Arabidopsis thaliana: one gene and its partners. The protein of the gene in region 4 interacts with the protein of the main gene of each other region in a pairwise test. Each region holds a gene or a part of one and is shown on either strand. Other genes may lie near its edges. The genes, in order: GB2, MAPR2, AT3G62560 and AT4G21570.

Region 1 (5,488 bases), 5.5 Mb from region 4:
CTGTAGCAAGATCATCCAAAGCACACAAATCCATGGGAACAATAAACTTATAAACTTTCCCAGGGTACTTCAGCCTAAAGCAATCTTCAAACTCAACTCTATCAGACCCTAAATTCTTAGGCAAACCCTGCACCATTATAGTAAACACAGCAGTAGAATTCGCGTTCGGGTCACTGATATTCCCATTCCCATCTCTAAACCTAGTAAACTTCAACCTAGCTTCAATAGCAGCGATTCCAAAATGCGAGATAACAACAACAATAACAACAAACACAAAATGCAGCCAAAGCAAAGCTGAACCTTTCTGAATATGCGTAATCATCGTTTTCGAAAGCTCATCACTCAACAAAGCAGTCCCAGCATATAAATTCAACGGAAGCATAACCGAAACAGCTAAAACAGCAATGGAGAAAAGAAGCACAAAGCTTCCACCTTCAATTAAAAGAAACTGAGCAGCATCAGCACCACAGTGACGAGCGATCTCGCGACACGTGGCTTTCCAAACGGCGAGGAGCTTAGAGAAGAGAGCAGAAGGACCAGGCATACGACGGTGGTCGCTGCGTAGCTTAACGAAGAGAAAGATGGAGACGCAGCATAAGAGACCAATGACCGAGATATTAAGCAGATACTGAATGTTGCCGTACCAAGCATCTGGGATTTCAGGTAAGTCGCCGGAAGATGGAGGAGGAGAGAATGAATTATCTATTGTCATTGATGAAATCGGTGGCATCGCAGCTGGTGAAAAATTGCGATTCATCGCGAATTTCTCAACCAAATTGAGAAACCCAAATCTTCGAAGTTTCTTCAGAGATTCAGGATTTATACAACAAGGTTTTGATCAGGAGAAATTTGGGGGCTTTAGGGTTAGACTTTGGGGGAAGTAGATCGACGAAGATGATGGCAAAAGTAGAAAGGTAAATAGAAAAGGAGGAACAAGGAATGCTATCGCGGTTTCGAATCTCTCAAAAGATTCTTCTCCTTAAATCATGAAATTTAATCCCATCTTTTTAAGATAAATACACCCAAAAAAAACGAATTAACACAACTAAAAAATATAAATAATTTGATAGAAGTATATCAAATTGGTAATTTACAGAGTTTTTATGAATAAAACGATAGTTCTTTAAACGATAATTACATATTCTCTAAATATTTCGTGATTAGTAGAATAAGAGAATATAATCAAATTCATAACTCTTGTATATTCATTTTAATCAAATTCTCCTTAAAGCATGAAATTAATCAAATAATTTGAAGGTAAAATACCCAAAAAAATACGAAATAACATAACTAAGATCGGTTTGAGTTTGGGATGAAATAACATCCCCTGTTCTCTAATGGATGGAACTCTGTTTCGAATTTGCTTCTCGAATTTGCCATTGTAGACTATAAGCATTTGTAAGGAACTCATCTCTAATGTAGGATTTGAGTTCTTCTTATCTTCCCACTAGAACATTCATCTTAAACACAGTTATGTAATTTCCATAAGAGATATGAAACAGAGCATACTACCGTGATAATCCGGACACAATTGATATTAGTAGCCTTGTATCAAGGTACGTGTGTATTCCCCATCATATAATAAAAGAAGCTTTTGCTAATGCAAATTTCTGGTAAGTTCACAGTTTTGATGTGCAAGTTCTTTTGTATCATCAATTTAGCGATTATGGACTGCGCCATGCTTCAGATGAATAGAAAAAAGAAACTTATGCTGGTCTCGAAATCCACTAACCAAGCCATTCAACATCAAAGAAAAAAGCCCACATTATAAAAAAATAAAAAAGCCCACTTTAAACTATCAAATGCCCAACAATGGATGATGCACTAGTCGAGTCAGAGTGGACGGAGCCAAAGGCAGAGATGGATTTTAAGCTTTAATTTGTTTCCCAGATATTTTTCATCTGGTCCCTCTGTTTTTAAATAATTAACTAAAACGACTATAATAATTAATAAATTATACTATAGAGTATTTTGTGTGGATTTTTATTTACTGTTGAAACTTAAGGATACAAAAGAAAAACAATTATTCAGATAATTCGTCATTAGATCCCTTTAATTTTAGTAATTAAGTAAAAAGATTATAAAAGATGAGAAGGAGAAGATAGCTTCTTCATCGAGAAACCTCGAAATCAAAAAGCACGTCGGTGACTTGTACTCTTCAATCTCTTCTTCCTCTCTTTCACATCTCCTTCTCTCGAACCCATCGACCTGCGCTAATTCATCATCGACCTTGCTCAAATTCATCAACCATGTCTTACGATTATCTCTTCAAGTACATAATCATCGGAGACACAGGTGAGAGACCGATCTTTCACCTTTCTTAATTCCCAATTGTTTTATTTTTCTGGGTTAAATCCATTTCGTGCCGATTTTCATGTGTTTTCGTTGTTGTTTTTTTTGTCGTTTCAGGTGTGGGAAAATCGTGTCTGCTTCTGCAATTTACTGATAAGAGGTTCCAACCAGTCCACGATCTCACCATTGGTGTTGAGTTCGGTGCTCGGATGGTCACCGTCGATGGACGCCCCATCAAACTCCAAATTTGGGACACCGTACGCTTCCTCTCTCTTCTCTTGGTCGTAATTAGGTCATCAGGGAACTAATCACGTTTTATCGATTAGGATTGTTTTTTTTTTCTCCCTAAGGCAGGATGTGATTAAGAAGATTAATTGTCATAATCAATTCAATTTCTTCGTTTTTATATAAACAATGCCTCATTAGAATTGCCAATACCAAAAATTATGTTTGAAAATCATGTCCAGAGACTCAAAGTGGGGTAAAATTTCAAAAAAGTTAATCATTGCACGGTTCTTGATTAAGTTTCATAGGCTTATTGTAATAGAAGCTGAGTTCACCAGTGCATTCCTTGTTGTGATTTCTTCTGGTCAATAGTTCTTCCATTAGATGATGTATGTGTTGGAGTTGTGCTTTCTGATTAAAGTTTCGTATGATATTTTTTAGGCTGGACAAGAATCTTTTAGATCCATCACCAGATCATACTACAGAGGAGCAGCCGGAGCTTTACTGGTTTATGACATCACCAGGTTAGTTTTTGCCTTGCGACAATATATATCAGCTCGAACTTCTGAATTCCCCAGCAAGGTTTTGGAAGTGATTGGTTCTGTATTTGTGATTTGATAAACCTAGACTGTTGGAAAGGTTTTGGAAATTGGGAAGTTACTTTTATCTGAACAAAATCCTTGGCTATAATATTGGCAATGCTTGTTTGGGAGGATGTTAAGTTAACCATCCATCTTAAATTCTTGCTAAAATAGATATTTTTCCTCCATTGTTTTGGAATTTTGAAAGTTATGAAGGACATGAAGAATTGCAAGAGTTTTATCATTGAGGTTTTTCATGCTTTGATCTTTCTGAAGCTCAAAATTCTTGGTTCTTTGGGTTGCAGGAGAGAGACGTTTAACCATCTGGCAAGCTGGTTGGAGGATGCTCGGCAACATGCAAATCCTAACATGAGTATTATGCTGATTGGGAACAAATGTGATCTTGCTCACAAGAGAGCTGTTAGCAAAGAGGAAGGTCAACAGTTTGCCAAAGAACATGGCCTGCTATTCTTAGAAGCATCTGCAAGAACTGCTCAAAACGTTGAGGAGGTGACATTTCTTCCTTGCAACTCTTTTTCCCCATCCTGTTATTTGGCTGTAATCACATGGAGACTTTTGTCTTCTTTTTCTGGATTCCAACAGGCCTTCATAGAGACTGCTGCCAAGATCCTCCAGAACATTCAGGATGGTGTCTTTGATGTATCCAACGAGGTAATTTCCTTGTTGAATCTGGCAATATACTTAGTCTTCTGGTGTTCTCTAATCCCTCGATTGTGTTACAATGTGATTCAATTCCCTTGGTCTCTCTAAATTTTGCAGTCATCAGGTATCAAGATTGGTTACGGGCGTACTCAAGGTGCAGCTGGAGGAAGAGATGGTACGATCTCTCAGGGAGGTGGCTGTTGTGGTTAAAAAATCCTCGAGAGAGGTGTCACATATCTGCTGTAATCTGGTGATTCAGAAACTACTATTGCTTCTATTTACCTCTGCAAATGGATACACCAGAATGTATAGTTTCTCTTTCTTTCTTTCTTTTTTTCTCTTTTTCCCAGATTGTCTTTTATCAAAAAACCAAACGGGTGCATTTAAGAGTGAACAGGCTGATCTTTATAAACCAAACAGGCGTTGGCTTATTTAAAACGTTGTCGCTTTGTATGAAGCTCTCAAGGTTAAGTAATTGAAATCAAATCAGAATAATATCCAGTCATCATCTAGGTGAAATTTCCTTATTCATCTAAACGAACTGGTTTTAAAATACCCAGATGGTTCACAGAGATCCCAATAAGCAAATAGAAGTAGAAAACGAAGAAGCCATGATACCATCTTTCTTCCTCTTGGTCCCTTTGCTTTAACGCCTATTAGGTAATGTCCCTTCCCTAAGCCGCAAGTTATTGTATGTTCGCGTCACTAACATCAGTCTCGGATCATCCTCTGGTATTTCGCGTTCCTATGATTACCACACCACAAAAACCATCAATAACTAATACCAAGAGAAAGAAAGTTTGTGGTCAAATAAGAAAAAGGTTTTTTATTACTTTCAAGCCCTTGTAGTAAGCTTCAACAGCAGCTAGTGTTGGTAGAATATTCCGAGCTAGCATCAGATCCCATATCATATTTGCAACTGTGTACCCTCCCGTCTGCCATAAAGAAAATGTTTTTTTTTTTTTAACTTTCACTAAGCCAACTCTTTATATCAGTAAGATATTTCCAAAGTTTTTAGGGGAAGTTCAAGATTTTTACCTTTTCACCAGCGGCTTTGAGTAACAGATTGCTTCCAGTTCTTGGGTCTAAGAAGAAATTGCGTTCGTTCATTTGGATCTGCATTTACAAACAAATTGTCATCAGGCTCTACTATTGGCCCGTGTTTTGTTTACTTCATAGATTCTTTTTTTCAGTACAGCTCGAGCCAATAAGCATTACCAGAGTGTCCTGAGCAATCTTCATTCCATTATCGGTGTATCCTGTCATAGCTCCTTCTATAAGCGTCTGTAAAAATAAAACAAATAAATTGACATCTTCAGCATATACATATCACCCAAAGATATGTTGAACCAAGTATGGGAAACAGGACAGAAGCATAATTCTCTTCGACTAATGCGTTAGTTGAGAATTTAGATTTATTTGTATATACATTTGCGGGGTTTGACAATTGAGAATCAACAACTATAAGACATATATAGTAAAGAAGACGTTCACTCTCAAAGCAAATATAGAAAACACCAGTTATGAGGTCAGATCATTGTGTTACCGTGTATAGTTCCATGGCAGGGATTTTGTCTGCGCTCATGTAATCTTGAAACAGTTTGAGACCATTCTCAAAGTCTTGCGAATGTAGATAGCACCTGCGTAGATATAAAATAAGATGCATATACGTTAATCATGTTTTGATTCTCAACGAGAGTTAATAGTGTAGTATACTAGTAACAAAA
Region 2 (3,795 bases), on a different chromosome or scaffold from region 4:
GCCGAAACCGTACCTCACCACCATTCGCTTTGATATCTTCAGCAATGACCGATTCTATAGTTGAACGGGTACGGCTGCCACCCCATCTAAGCAACGGAATCTCATCCGCGTTAACAGCGTTCCCAAAACGCTCAGCGATGGTGATGATTGACTCATACGCCCAAGCCTGCAACACGAAAACCAGACCACTGACAGTGTACGTCTTGCCAATAGGCCTCAGCAACTTTATAGAAACGACAAGGGCTTCATATGCTGCCCGACCCCATGGATAAGTCTTCATGGCTTCGTCGTCGAAAACTCTTTTGGCACTCTCAAATGGTATCCTAGAGTTAGTATGCAAGCCAAAAAGTCCAATGGATAGAAGAGTCAATAACCCAAACCATCTACGTTTTTCAGTAGGCCAAGCTCTGCACGTTACTAAGCCCTGCCTAAGTTCATCTAGATTAGGACCTTCACCGGTTGGCACACGCAATTCACTGAAGAACGCTTTGTAGTCAGCTTCAGGCTCAAACTTTTCTGTAGGCAGATCATCTATATTTAAACCAGTGATATGATGAAATTCGTTCAATCCAAACCGGATGGGTTTACCAGCCACGATACACCAAAGCTCCTTCTTCAGTATTCTCAGCTGTCTGCATAGTAGATAATGTACGGTCTTACCAGACCAGAGAAAATGACTATCAACAAGCTTAGCAATTAATCCAAGCTCTGTCTCTTTCAGTTCTGCCCATATTTCTTCTCCTATTGATTCTCTAATTGCAGGGAACTCTCCCAGCTTTATATTATGATTAATGCCTTTACCCTCCAGATTAGAATCCCCCTCTTGGTAAAGTCTTGGAGGGTACTCCCTTGCTTGGTCTTCAGACATCTGTATAACCATAAATCAGCCGTAAGCATTCCATAACTCAGTCATAACATAAAACAAACTCATCCACAGATACCATAACTCAGGCAAAACATAAATCTAACTCAGCCATAGATAACATAACTCAGTCATAACATAAACCTATCTCAGCCATAGATAACATAACTCAGTCATAACATAAACCTATCTCAGCCACACATAACATAACTCAGCCATAAGATAAATCTAACTCAGCCATATTTTAACAGAAACTCAGTCAAACCATAACATAACAACAGCTCAGTTAAAACATAAACCAGACTCAGCTATATCAAAACAGAAACTCAGCCATAACATAAACAAACTCAGCCGTCATATAACAGAAACTCAGACATCGATGTAAGGTTAAACCATAACTCAGTCACAGCATAAAAAAAACTCAGACACGGATGAATTGATAAATCATAAATCAGTCGGCAAACAAACAGTAACTCAGCCGTCAAATCAAATAGATCTAAGAAATCGGCCACCATATGTCAATCAACGTCGACGTTAAAACCCAGCTTTAAAAACCATCGTTACGCATCGGAAAACGATTTCAGTGACGGGAATCACTTGAGATTGAACTTAGATGTCAGAGTCTTACTTCATTGAAAGATACTCACCGGAACTTAGATGTCGAATGTGACTTCGCGCTTACGTAAATGCGACTCCGGCGTCTGAATTTCGGCCGGAACAGACGAGAAAAGAGCAAAACGGCGAAAGAAATCGATTTCGTTCCGTCGAGAGAGAAAGTGGAAGAAAGCGACAGTTTTTTTTTTTTTTGGGAGATGATGAACAGTAAAGCTAAGAAATAAGAAACCCAAACGTTATGGAGTTTGGAGATAATTAATGACGTGGATTATGGTAATGACATGGAATAATGACATGTATAATCACTGTTTTTTCATTTAATTTTTAGTTAAAAACGAATTAAATAATAATAATTAATTAAAACTAATTAGGGGTGTTAATTGTAATTACACAATAACTGAAAACATCTGAGTAATAAAAAAAAGATGTGTTCTACTGTAGGAATAAACATACAAATGTGTTCTATCTTAGGAATTAGTTCAAATTAAATTGTCTTTTCCCAAAGCCGTCCTTTAAACCCGACGAAGTTGTTTAAGCAGCTTAAATTAAGCTCCTTGAAAGATTAAGCATTTCTGGAATTTTTATCGACTTTAATTAGAGAAAAATAAAATATTTTTTGATATTCCTTGTAAAAATCTGAAGAATAAAGTTTACTCCACTTATTACCGACACAAAAAAAGTTGTTCCACTTATTAAAAAAAAGTTATTCAGTTATAATTTTTTTAAAAAAATCCTCTGTTATATATCTCTCACTATCTTTTATTTGGTTCTTTCCAGAAACAATTGATCAGAGCTTTAAAGAAAAAGATGGAATTCACCGCAGAGCAGCTAAGCCAATACAACGGCACCGACGAATCAAAGCCGATCTACGTCGCAATCAAAGGCCGTGTGTTCGATGTCACCACCGGAAAATCCTTCTACGGCTCCGGAGGCGATTACTCGATGTTCGCCGGAAAAGACGCGAGCAGAGCTTTGGGTAAGATGAGTAAGAACGAAGAAGATGTGTCTCCTTCTCTTGAAGGTCTCACTGAGAAAGAGATCAATACTCTTAATGATTGGGAGACCAAATTTGAAGCTAAGTATCCTGTCGTTGGCCGTGTTGTCTCTTAGGTCTCTCTTCTGAGATTGCACTATGTTATGTAACTATTGTGTGTGAGGATCTTTGTGTTGTGTGTTTTCTGATTTCGTGTTTGGATCTGATCGTTTTGATACAATTACCATAAGTACCAAATTATCTATGAAATAAATCGGGGATTTCGTGTTCTCAGTGGTCTTCATATTCTGATCTTAAGGTTACTTTGTTGTGCTTACCAAAAAAAAAAGGTTACTTTGTTGTGATGATTAGGATTTTAGGAGTTTTAAGTCTCATATGTATTTGATGAGAGGATATAAAGATTGGTTTGTGTCTTTCATATCTTGCAAATACTTGGAGCTAATTGTGTCTGGTGAAAGAAAAACTGATGGTTTCTGAAATCTGAGCAACACCAAACTTACTGGTAGTTTTGGATTCGGTGTAAATTATCTTACAAGTTCCAAGTTGTTGTTAATTTTAGTCTTTTGCGTTATGAGATTTGGAAGAATATAGTTATGATGAACATTCAGAATTCATAGAAGCTAATGTGTGTCTTCTTTGATTCTTTCTTACTTCTCCCGGTCTAAATTATTATCATCACTTGTATGACTTCGGCCCTGTTCGGCATGGCGTTCTTGCGACTAATATGTTGCTTTAACGCCAAGTCTTAGGTTTGAGGGAGAGCTGTTCATGGGTAGAGTTGTTCTTGGCTCGAGTTGACTTGTGTCGTGTGTAGTGGCTGTGGCCTATAGCTATGCTTGTTTATCAAGAGAGAGGCATCCTAACTTAGATATTATTTTGACATTTTAAATAAAAAAATGCACAAACCACCACCTCCAAGAACTAGCTACCTTGCTGGATTTGAACCAAACCTAGAACATAAATGAGGAGACGTGGAGGGGTAGGAGATTCGGCACCATGTTGATCCTCAGGTAGGTATTTATCCTTTCCCACAATTTGTAAAACGTTGTTGGAGAACCCGGGGTGATTACAAGACACTACAACTTTGTTCTCTATGTCGACTAAGAAACTCAACCCAAAACATAACCCTAAATGATAGCGGTCATCAAATTTCGACACTGTCAGGAACTTGCTCTATGAAATGGCTTCGTACTCTCCATCTTATTCGCTATCCATACCTCAGAGCTCTGAGCAGCAAATATACAAAGTTGTTGCGCTTCTCTAGTCATTGACAAAGTCGCAAAACAATAAGAACGAGGCGATCTTAAATATTAACCAAAGAGAG
Region 3 (5,209 bases), on a different chromosome or scaffold from region 4:
CCAGTTTCTTCATCATTATCGCATTCAGATTCAACTTCTTCATCACATCCATCACTAACATTAGAACTACCACTAGAGAAACCTCTACACCCAAGACTCGCATCAAGCAGTTGTACAGAGGAGTGTGGCAATGGAATTTGACGGTAAGGATGATAAGTAGAAGAATGAATCATACGAGAGAAGAGAGCACCGGAAAATCGTACTTCCTCTTCTCCTCTCCCGCCGATTACGCGGCTTTGACTGGAAATGAATTCATCGGCATCGAATGAAGAAGAGCAAATGAGGAATCTTCTTAATGAAGTCTGAGTGGAGCTTCTTCTCCTAGAGAGATAGAGCCATGGAGCAGCAGCCATGGAAGCTCGACGGCGATTAGCAATGGCGAAGTCGGTGAAAAGCCACTGATTTACGGCGGAGAGCTCTTCACGTATTTGGGCCTTTGTTTGATTAGAAGCTTTGAGTGATAATAATTTTGACCCATTAAAGGCCCATTGATCTGGTCACATATAACCATTGGGTCCACCAGGAGCATTAAAGCTCAAACGCATAAAGAATTTTTATTTTTTAGTTGGAAGGTATCTGTATGCATCTTATCTTCGTTTTAGGGTCGTGATATTTTCTCAAGTTTTTCTTAGGGGACCAATTTATTTTTAGATTTATTTGATTCTATCTTACATTTCTCTTAGTTCACGTTGTCTTTGTATACGTGTTTATGGATATTACATAACTGAAAATCAAGATCAGTCAATCAGTGTAACATCAATCATCAATAACCCTGCGGGATGTATATAAAACTAAGGGATATATGAGGAAAATCAGATTCCAGATTAAGTTCATAAATATTGATTCACCTAAAATCTATAATAACATAGTAGTTCAGAAGCATGAAATAATTCTATAAAAAATCATGAATTATCTACATAAAAATATCGCATATTGTAGATAAGAGTCACCCCTGAAAGAAAAACGATAGTTTTCTGTATTTGGTTATCAATCAATCCTATGTGGGTTTATATCTTATCTAATGTAAAAATTACACAAAGGATAGTGTCTGCAAATATCTAAATGAAAACACTTAATTCCAAAATGAGAAATCAAGTGGGTTTTGCCTAGCTAATTGTATAAATAGTAACACAATCATAATCTCTTCTTCCATCAGGTCTTCTTCATAATATATTTCTTCTCTAATAATTGAAAGCAAAAGAAAACAGTTTTTTTTTTTAGAAAGGTAAAGAAATGGAGGAAACAAAGGAGAGAAAGATAGTAGTAGCAGTAGACGAAAGCGAAGAGAGCATGGAAGCTCTGTCATGGAGTCTTGACAATCTTTTTCCATATGGTTCCAATAATACACTCATCCTCCTCTACGTCAAGCCCCCTCTTCCCGTTTACTCTTCCCTCGATGCCGCAGGTTAGTCCTCGTTCTTTCACGATTCATATCTTTCCCTAATTATAATCTGTTCACTTTAGTTATAGATTTTTGTTTGGTCGATTTCCAGGGTTTATAGTGACAGGAGACCCGGTTGCAGCTTTGAAGAAGTATGAATACGAGCTCGTGGAATCGGTCATGGCTCGGTCTCGAACCGTGTACCAAGATTATGAGTCTGATGTAAGCTTATTTCTATCGATTTTTTATCACTTAATTTGCTGGATTATACTTGCTTAAAAAACTTGAGAAATTATGAGAAAGTGAATTTAATCAAGTAGTTATGAGTTAATCTGTTTATCATGAGCAATATTTAGTACAAAAAATATAACATATGATAAGCAAAATATGGTTGTTTTCAAAGAGAGTTGGCGAAATAAATGTAAATATAACCAAATTAATGTGCAGATTAATATAGAGAGACGAGTTGGAAGAGGAGATGCTAAGGAAGTTATATGCAACGCAGTTCAGAAACTTAGAGTTGATATGTTAGTAATGGGCACTCATGACTATGGCTTCTTCAAAAGGTAAGGTTTCAATCTCTTATAAGAAACAAAAATATTTTGGTTTAATGGTTATTTGATAATCATTTGATATATTTGATAGGGCTTTGCTAGGGAGTGTGAGCGAGTATTGCGCCAAACGAGTCAAGTGTCCTGTGGTTATCGTCAAGAAGCAAGCTCAAGATAATTAAGCTCATATGATTGCATTGTGTATATGTTTCGAAAGAACTGGTGTAACACTTGAATCAATCTTCGTATGCGATAATAAAATACATAACGGTTTAAACAAATTTAGCAGATATTTTTGCTTATATAAAACTAGCTGACAATGACATCAATCAACCAATTAAATTCAAATCTACATTCTCTACATACAATGCCAAATTAAAAACTAATGTAAACGCAAATTTCAATTTAACGTATAGAAGAATGTAATGAACCATATACCAAGTTTTGAATATTTGCAATTTTGTTGTTTGAACACTTAATTGTTGTTCGCTTCAAAGTTCAATAAAGGCCTCAAGGCCCAAAGTATATCTGTTACTCATCCAGTCGACACAGTCATACTTAAACGTCGCCGTTTCCGTGTTCGAAGCTTCGTGAAAATCTTCAATCTCGCGAGAGAGAAGAAGAAGAAGAAGAAGAAGAAGAAGCGATGTTCCTGGTGGATTGGTTCTATGGAGTTCTGGCAACTCTGGGACTATGGCAGAAAGAAGCGAAGATTCTGTTTCTAGGTCTCGACAACGCCGGCAAAACCACCTTGCTTCACATGTTAAAGGACGAGGTTCGTTTTCTTCGAGCCATATCAGTAATCGCTGTCTAGAATCTTGTTTCTTTTACTTAGCGCGAACGAATCAAAGTCTTAATCAGCGATAATCGTTTGATTTGGGTTTCAGAGACTGGTCCAGCATCAGCCGACACAGCATCCGACATCGGAAGAGCTTAGTATCGGCAAAATCAAGTTCAAAGCCTTCGATTTGGGAGGTCATCAGATTGCTCGTAGAGTCTGGAAGGACTATTACGCTAAGGTTTGATCTTCTTTCTTCTTTGGATTTTATTGTTAGGTCAATCAATTTAGCAAGTCTTTGGAAGGACTATTGCGCTCGTATAGTTGTATGTAGACTCTAAGCTGACTCTGTTATAGATTACAATCTTCCCTGTGCCCATATAAACAATAGTTAGATGATAGAGGTGAAGTGAAATCTTCAATGAAGTTTGTCATATAGCAATTCTCTTTTGAATGTTGCAGCATGAGGTCCTGTGATTACATTCTGCTGGTTATGTGTACCTAGTAAGCTCTTGCTGTGTACTACTCCTACTCTGTTCCTTAGCCACTGTGTTGCTCCGTTGGGTTATATAAGTTTGCAGATGATAGTTTGAAATGATTGAGCTATAGTAAAATCTTCAGATGATAGATATACATATACATCATATACTGTAGTTTAAAATGACATTGTGATTGGTATGTGGAGCCAGTGGAGGTTGAAAATTAGAAGATTGTATAGCTATAGACTACTCTTACTGTCAGTTTTAGAGTCATGAGGTCCCTTGTGATTTACATTCTCATAGCTGATGATTCCAGTGAATCAAGAGATTAATAGACTCCGGTGTTTCTATTAGCTACCCTCTTTGCATTCTATCTTCAAGTTTGTAACTTTATTATTGTCTCGTATTAGGTTGATGCAGTGGTATACCTAGTTGATGCATATGACAAAGAGAGGTTTGCAGAATCAAAGAAAGAGCTTGACGCTCTTCTCTCTGATGAATCCCTAGCAAATGTCCCTTTCCTCATCCTTGGAAACAAAATCGACATTCCGTACGCTGCATCAGAAGACGAGCTGCGTTATCATCTAGGCCTCACCAGTTTCACCACTGGGAAAGGTAAAGTGAATCTAGCAGGAACAAATGTTCGTCCTCTTGAGGTGTTCATGTGCAGCATTGTCAGAAAGATGGGTTACGGCGAAGGATTTAAATGGGTTTCTCAATATATCGACTAGATCAATCATATTTAAGTCTTATCTATCTATACTGTGTGATTGGTATCTGTACGTGTTATAACCTAATGTATAATTACGATTAATGTGTGTATACAACAAGATTTGACGGCTTTTAAATTATCAATTTTGTGTTTACAGACCAAAGTTGAATCCTATGAAAAGTGTGAACCCATTTGTCTGTGACTGTGTAACTGTGTGGGGCTTAAGAAATGGCTGTATCTTAGCTTTTTTATGAAAATTCGAAAGATGAACACTTTTACTTTAATAATGTAATGTAGAGAAAACCCCATGTGAATCGAGTTTGACAATTAACAATCACAATGTCCTACACTGAAAACCAATCAATTTGACACATAGATGTACCATAATGAGTGTACGTATATTGTTTTACATGTGTTATGTCTCTTTGTGAACTTATCATTATGTCTGTTTTTCTTCTTTCTAGGTATTGTGAAATGAACACAAACAGATCTATGGATAACCATGTATTTATTTTCATTAAAATATGTGAACAATAATACTCCAAAATAGTTCACAAAATAAGTAAAAAAATTTGCTTTTTAGCACCATCACAATGCGTCTTTGATCTCAGCCGCTTCCAAACGTTCAAGTCGCAGCGTAATAAGGCTAATAGATTAGATTTTGCGACTCAAGATTTTGCAGCTCAAGCATATATATGTCTACGGACTATGCAAATATGGATGTGTAAGAAAACTATTAGGTGCTCACTTTCTCTTTTTATAACTTTTTCAGAACATTTCTCCTTTGGACTGATTCTTCTCTACGTGGCCCAAAGTTAATATCAAAAGTTTTTTTTTAACGTATTATTTCTATCATTTGTTATTAATTTTTTCTCCTTTGGATTGATTCCTTGTTACAGTTTTTGCTCTTCTTTTTACTATGCTGTTTCTTTTTTATATTCGCCACTAGCTAGAGACTGGTTCTATGTCCCAGGACCCATGAAATACCAAGCACGAAAATGTGACCAAATGAATAATTTGATTTAAGTTTTTTGCTTGAATGAGAAAAGTTTTTTTTATATATAAAAAAATGTCAAAATATTAAAACTCATTCGATTGATTGCGTGGAGAAGAGAAAAATAAATTTAGAAGAAGTATTAACTTGGTTTTTGGGGTAAAGGGATGCACATGGATCCCTCATTCCCACGTGATATCTAAGCCAAGAACACGTGCCTCCCTCTGAGCTATCTGACTTTTATGTGATTGGTTTCAGTTTTTAGTTCAAAACCCAAAGCTTTTGGATCCAAAAGAGGTCTCTATCGTATGCAT
Region 4 (5,481 bases):
AAACAAGAGAAATGCAGGTGATCATAGAAGATAGAAAAGAGGAATCATTAAACCAAAAAGCTTAGGAGGTTATCTCAAGAACCAGAAGACATTGATGAACAAAAACCGAGAGAGAGGATGATATGAAATCATGATCATAATCACTAAAGCTAGAAATGGAGAAAACCCAATGAATCTTTACCCTAAATCATTGAAACCCAACAATCAAAATACCAAATTTCTACGTTCTACTGAAGCAAAAACCATAATTTATGAAGTGAGAGAGAAACTCACAAGGAAGCAAGTTGGGAGATTTCGATGGTAGAGCTACTTCTCCGGATTATAGAGGACAAAGATATGGAGATTGGAGAGAGAGAGAGAGAAGAGAGATTGGGAGATTGCGTGTGCTCACACGACACCTCTTTATGATGATGAATTGATGATGAAAGCTTTTCACGCGGTATGAACAAAACAACACGGAGGCAAGGCAACGAACTCTGTCTCTGTCTGGATCAACAACAAATCAATCACCATCGATTCTCGCGCAAATTAAATTAAATATAAATTTGATCGATTTCGAAAAACGAGAACTCGATTAACCCTAAATCGGAAATAATCTGACCTGTGGGCTGTGGAGTTGACAATCGGGTTATCAGAGAGAATCGTTCGAGCAGAGAGCCAAACCAATTCAATCCAGAGACTTTTTGTGTTTAGTCCTTTCGCACGCCTTTTCCCGTATATTACGTGCGACTTTTTTACCCTCCTTCAATTAATACATTACTCCAATTTTTATCTTCACAAATAAATTATTTTAATATTTTCATACATAAATGAGCTTTTGATTGGTTACAAATTCAGAACGATAGAATCATGAAAAATAATTTGATGATTTTTTTTAAGATTTCAACAACATTACTTTCGAATTTTACTACTCAATGAGAACGAGTGTTTTATTTTGTCACAGAAGTAAGAAGAATTTGAGTATTTGAACTGATTTTACAACAATTGAACAAAGACTAGAGTAACAATGGTGAAAAAGTTTCATTTCATGCATACGGGAAAGATATTAATATGAGTAGTGTTCTTTACTTCTTTTGATGAAAAGTGTAGTGGCTTTAACATTATTGTTCATATCATCTAAATTTTCAACTTTATTGTTTCTTTTTTCCCCAATCATGGAAACCAAAAGTTGTAAAGCAAAACCTTTAGATCTTTCTCCTCAACATAACAACATACAAGATCACCAAAGATTGGCTATAAAAATGGCTGGTTTAAAACCAGTCCATGTCCACTCTAACGCCCAAATCATTCGGTCTTTTTATCGAGTTTCTTCTTGGTCTCGCCGCTATAAGGACCAGCATGATAAGCGTGTTTCTGAACCGCAGCGAAGATAACCATCTCAAGACATACCAACACATTCTGAATTGCTTCTTGGATTTGTTCTACCTCCAACCAGAAATGGTGAGATTTTATGAATCCCATTGCCACCAGTATGTCTAGTGCTATTCCCTGCAGTTTCAGAATCAAAAGAATCTTATGAGTATATCCAAACATGAGAAATCTTGTTTTGAGGGGTTTACTGATTAATGCAAACATTACCTGCCAAAAGACAAAGAAGACAATTCCTTTGATGCAGAGGAACTTTGCGAGTGGATTATGAGGAGCAAGCTCCTTAGCAAACACATGGTAGAATATCACAAGAGAATACAAGGCCAGAGAAACCGAGAAATTGACAATGATAGTGAATGTCCAGCTCAACCATGAAGGATAAAACCCGATGAGCTGTAAAGCTATCATCAAAGTGGAGCACACGGGTCGAATGACCACAAATTGCCATGTCCAGTATTTCAAAAGTTTAAGAGTGTGACGATCCAAACGGACTACATGAGGCTGTCAAAACAATAGACACAAAGCTTTTAAGGGTAAAGAAGCAAATAGATATTAGATGAAATCATGCAATGAAGATAGAGACGAACCTGAAAAAGAGTCATTGGGAAAGAATGGTGAATCTCTCTTCCTTTGATTCCATCAGGCAAAATGTTTTTGCTCATAGATATGTTTAGATAACTATACATCAATGCCAAGAATTTGGCAATGACCTGCAAAATATCGAAAAAAATTGGTAAGTGTCGTCTCTACAATATGTTGTATACTAACACAAGCGATAAAACAATATACTCACAAGAGCTTCGTAGCATTCTTTGATGGATTCAAGAAAGAGGAAGAAGGTTTCACTTCCTTTGACTTCTAACAAACCAATAAAGGAAACAACGGCGTAGATAGGAGCCATAAGCACAATGATGAGTATAGCCTTTTGTTCCTTAGGGTTCTTCCAGTGGAAGAGATGCTGCGATACAAGCTGTATCGTGAAATGAAGTGTGAGCAAGACGGAAAACGCCGAGCAATAAAAAGTGATCTGTGGAGGCTTCAGTTTCGTTAGGTCCATCATTGTGTCCTGCATCAAAATTAATACACATAACTCTTTAGCATCAAGAAGCCATCAGACTTTGCACAAGAATTCTAATCAATCAAACATCTAAATCTTCACAAATGTTTCAGCATTATATTCAGCCAAATAGCTCCACATCAAAATTCACTCTTTAGCTTAACATTAATTTAAACTGTACAATGAAAAGCAAACATCTCATGAGATCTAGAAAGCTAAATGGTTGGAGCAATTAGATATCTCCGTATCAAAACAGAGTATATAACCGAATTAAAAACTCAAACTTTATAGATGACTGGGAAAACGGGTGATGAACTCGATAAACCCAATCAGACCCATTAATTTGAAAGGTCGAATTCTGATTTTGTCTATGTTCCCAAGACTGATTCAAAGCTAGATAAGCAAAATCTCTGTAAATCTGAACAAAGCAAAATTAGCTAACCAGAGAGAGAGAAAGAGAGGAACTAACCAGATAAGAGCTAGGGAAGAAGCGAAGATGAGACTCGGAGAGTGTGAAGAAAGTGAATCAGATCTCTTAGTAGTTAGATCATGAAGAATTGAGGGAGCATGAGACCGCCATTAATGGAGTCACAAACGTGGTCGTATTATAAAAATGGCGACGCGTTTACCACGTGAGAGAGACGCTACGATTGCATAAAAAGAAGTCGGCATTGGTATACATGTGTCTCTCTGATTCGTCCACACGGTTTTGTCGCATTTGTTGGAGAAAAGATAAGTCTTTTAAACAGAGGTCGGTATGGTATGTATTTGGTTTCAAGGATTCATGAAATTGATATATGATTGTGATGTAAGTTATTGATTTTTTCTTCATTCATTACACGTCATGGGCTGAGAGAAGAAATCAAAAGAGAGGATTTGTATCTTTGAGCCCAAAAAAAAAAGGCACCATCTTGGACCATTGGTTTGGTTGGACCAAATAATATAATGATGTGGTGAAAAGTTTTTTAGCGGTTATGAAAATCAAAATAAAAAAAAAAGGCGGTAAGAAAAATGGCAATGCAGTAGAAATGGTGGTTCAAAAATGGTTTTAGAAGTGAGATCATCTTTATGCTCATTTATCTTGGGTTTGTTCGGGCTCTAACACCATGTACAATTTTAATCATTTGAAAATAAGTGGAAAGATCTATACATTTCATATACTTTATATACTTATGTTGAATTAGCTCCACATCTTATTGGTAATGGTTTGACAGTTTGAATTATAGCAGAAATAAAAATAAATATATAGATTTAAGAAATATAATTGCTCCAAATGAATGACATATAGTTGAATGATTGGAAAAATAGGTGCAAATGGTTGCCTAAAATTAAGAAGTTGAAAGAGTTGAATGAGCATTTATCTATTTTTTTTACCATTTAAGATGAATAAGTTGGAAAAATGATTCAACCCTTTCAACTTAAAAAGTTGGAAAAATAAACTAATTATAAAGAAATTTTTTCAACTTGTATATCTTCTATTTCACAGAGAAATGAGTTGAATAATATTCAACTTTTATTTTTCAACTCAAAATTTCCAATTATTTCATCTCTATGCAACCATTTTCAGCAAAACCAAGTTGAACATTATTCAACTCATTCATCTACAAAAGAGTAGATGAAATGGTTGAACAAGTTTCTTTTATAATTTGTTCATTTTTCTTTTTTTTTTGTTGAATGAGTTGAATCAATTTTCCAACCTATTCATTTCAAATCGTAAAAATAAAATAAATAGTTATTCAACATTTTCAACCTTTTATTTTAAAACAACCAATTCATCTAAATAATTTTATTACTTTATAACAATCGCTTGTTGAGGAGATGACTTAATCACTTTTCATTTTCTCTTCGTGAATTCGTTTTACTAAGTTTCCGTTACTTTCAAATGTACTCAAAACAAAAAAAACAATCGCTTGTTACTATAATAAAAGATCGATGAAACAAGATTCTAATGTTAAGCATTTTGAAATGTTACGAAACCGTACAAACAATTTATGTGATTAACGTCAAATGCATAAAAACGCAAACACAAAAAATAGCAGTTAAATCTTATAAAGATATTTCATAAAATATTACACACTCATGAAAGGTCTTAAAAGCTTAATTAGTTCTCATTATCAAAGAAAAAAATAAAAGCTTAATTAGTTCTTACCGAAAAAAACAAAGCTTAATGTTGATGAGTGAACGAGTCTTTCCACGTCGTCCACACTGTCCTCGTCGTCCTCGTTGTCTACGTCGTCTTCGTGGTCCAGGTCGTCGTAATTGGAAGTGGCGAGAGAAAATCCGATTTGGCGGTGCCCAAAATCAAATATCGTATGATATCTCTGAGTAAAGGCATTCCAAGAATATTGTAAACAAATTAATATATAAATTTAATTGATAAGTAATTTACGAAACAAAACGTACTTAATGTGACGAAATGGAGAGATAGTCCTCCGAAGTGAAATAAAAAGCACATCGGGCAAATAATTTGCTACCGCTGCTGCCACTTTGGCATTTGTAAATATCATCCTTTCCATATGACTAGAAAATAGAAAACGAAAAGAGAAAGTATTAAGTTAACATAAAACAACAAATAATAATAAAATGTTGTAAATAAAACTTACACGTCTACCACAAATTTGAGAGTAATCTCTCGGGTAATGAGATAGAAAAATAAATATAAATGATAAATTGCATTAGTAAATAGTATTTGATACAAAATAAAATTTAAACATTAAATCCTTTACTAACCGGGGGACCGTATATATACGGACAGCTCATATGAATTAAAGTTTTATGGGTGAGTGATCCTAAAAAGAAAAAGAAGATGTAAAGTTTATGTACTGAAAACACACATATATAGATAGACTCATTATTGTAATTAATTATTACATGATATCCGTTGACTTGGATGGAATGCATCCTAATGATTCATCTATTACCTTCAATGAGGTTGAAGTATATATGCTCAACGACAAAATGAATCTGATCAACATCCCGAACGATTGTTTCTCCTCCCAAATTATAGCTGTCACCATAATGAACTTATTCATAGTAATTCTGTAGCCACACCGACA

What was found.
Region 1: the proteins of AT4G21570 (region 4) and GB2 interact in a protein complementation assay, tested with the Arabidopsis thaliana proteins (one large-scale study listed by BioGRID).
Region 2: the proteins of AT4G21570 (region 4) and MAPR2 interact in a protein complementation assay, tested with the Arabidopsis thaliana proteins (one large-scale study listed by BioGRID).
Region 3: the proteins of AT4G21570 (region 4) and AT3G62560 interact in a protein complementation assay, tested with the Arabidopsis thaliana proteins (one large-scale study listed by BioGRID).

What each region holds. Positions count from the first base shown.
Region 1 is NC_003075.7:16,985,601-16,991,088, reverse strand, and holds GB2 (GTP-binding 2), read left to right. Parts: upstream 1-2,041; 5' UTR 2,042-2,249; coding exon 2,250-2,295; exon of another isoform or gene 2,296-2,409; coding exon 2,410-2,549; intron 2,550-2,958; coding exon 2,959-3,041; intron 3,042-3,403; coding exon 3,404-3,608; intron 3,609-3,701; coding exon 3,702-3,770; intron 3,771-3,878; coding exon 3,879-3,971; 3' UTR 3,972-4,249; downstream 4,250-5,488. Other genes in the region: AT4G35870 (early-responsive to dehydration stress protein (ERD4)), read right to left, coding at 1-757; AT4G35850 (Pentatricopeptide repeat (PPR) superfamily protein), read right to left, coding at 4,408-4,506, 4,595-4,696, 4,800-4,877, 4,980-5,045, 5,308-5,401. UniProt on the Arabidopsis thaliana protein: Intracellular vesicle trafficking and protein transport.
Region 2 is NC_003071.7:10,607,163-10,610,957, forward strand, and holds MAPR2 (membrane-associated progesterone binding protein 2), read left to right. Parts: upstream 1-2,254; 5' UTR 2,255-2,284; coding exon 2,285-2,587; 3' UTR 2,588-2,738; downstream 2,739-3,795.
Region 3 is NC_003074.8:23,134,961-23,140,169, forward strand, and holds AT3G62560 (Ras-related small GTP-binding family protein), read left to right. Parts: upstream 1-2,325; 5' UTR 2,326-2,578; coding exon 2,579-2,707; intron 2,708-2,819; coding exon 2,820-2,951; intron 2,952-3,599; coding exon 3,600-3,920; 3' UTR 3,921-4,185; downstream 4,186-5,209. Other genes in the region: AT3G62540 (Pentatricopeptide repeat (PPR) superfamily protein), read right to left, coding at 1-353; AT3G62550 (Adenine nucleotide alpha hydrolases-like superfamily protein), read left to right, coding at 1,234-1,405, 1,494-1,603, 1,829-1,947, 2,027-2,114.
Region 4 is NC_003075.7:11,469,842-11,475,322, forward strand, and holds AT4G21570 (organic solute transporter ostalpha protein (DUF300)), read right to left. Parts: upstream 3,181-5,481; 5' UTR 2,895-3,180; intron 2,435-2,894; 5' UTR 2,429-2,434; coding exon 2,162-2,428; intron 2,079-2,161; coding exon 1,956-2,078; intron 1,870-1,955; coding exon 1,285-1,869; 3' UTR 994-1,284; downstream 1-993.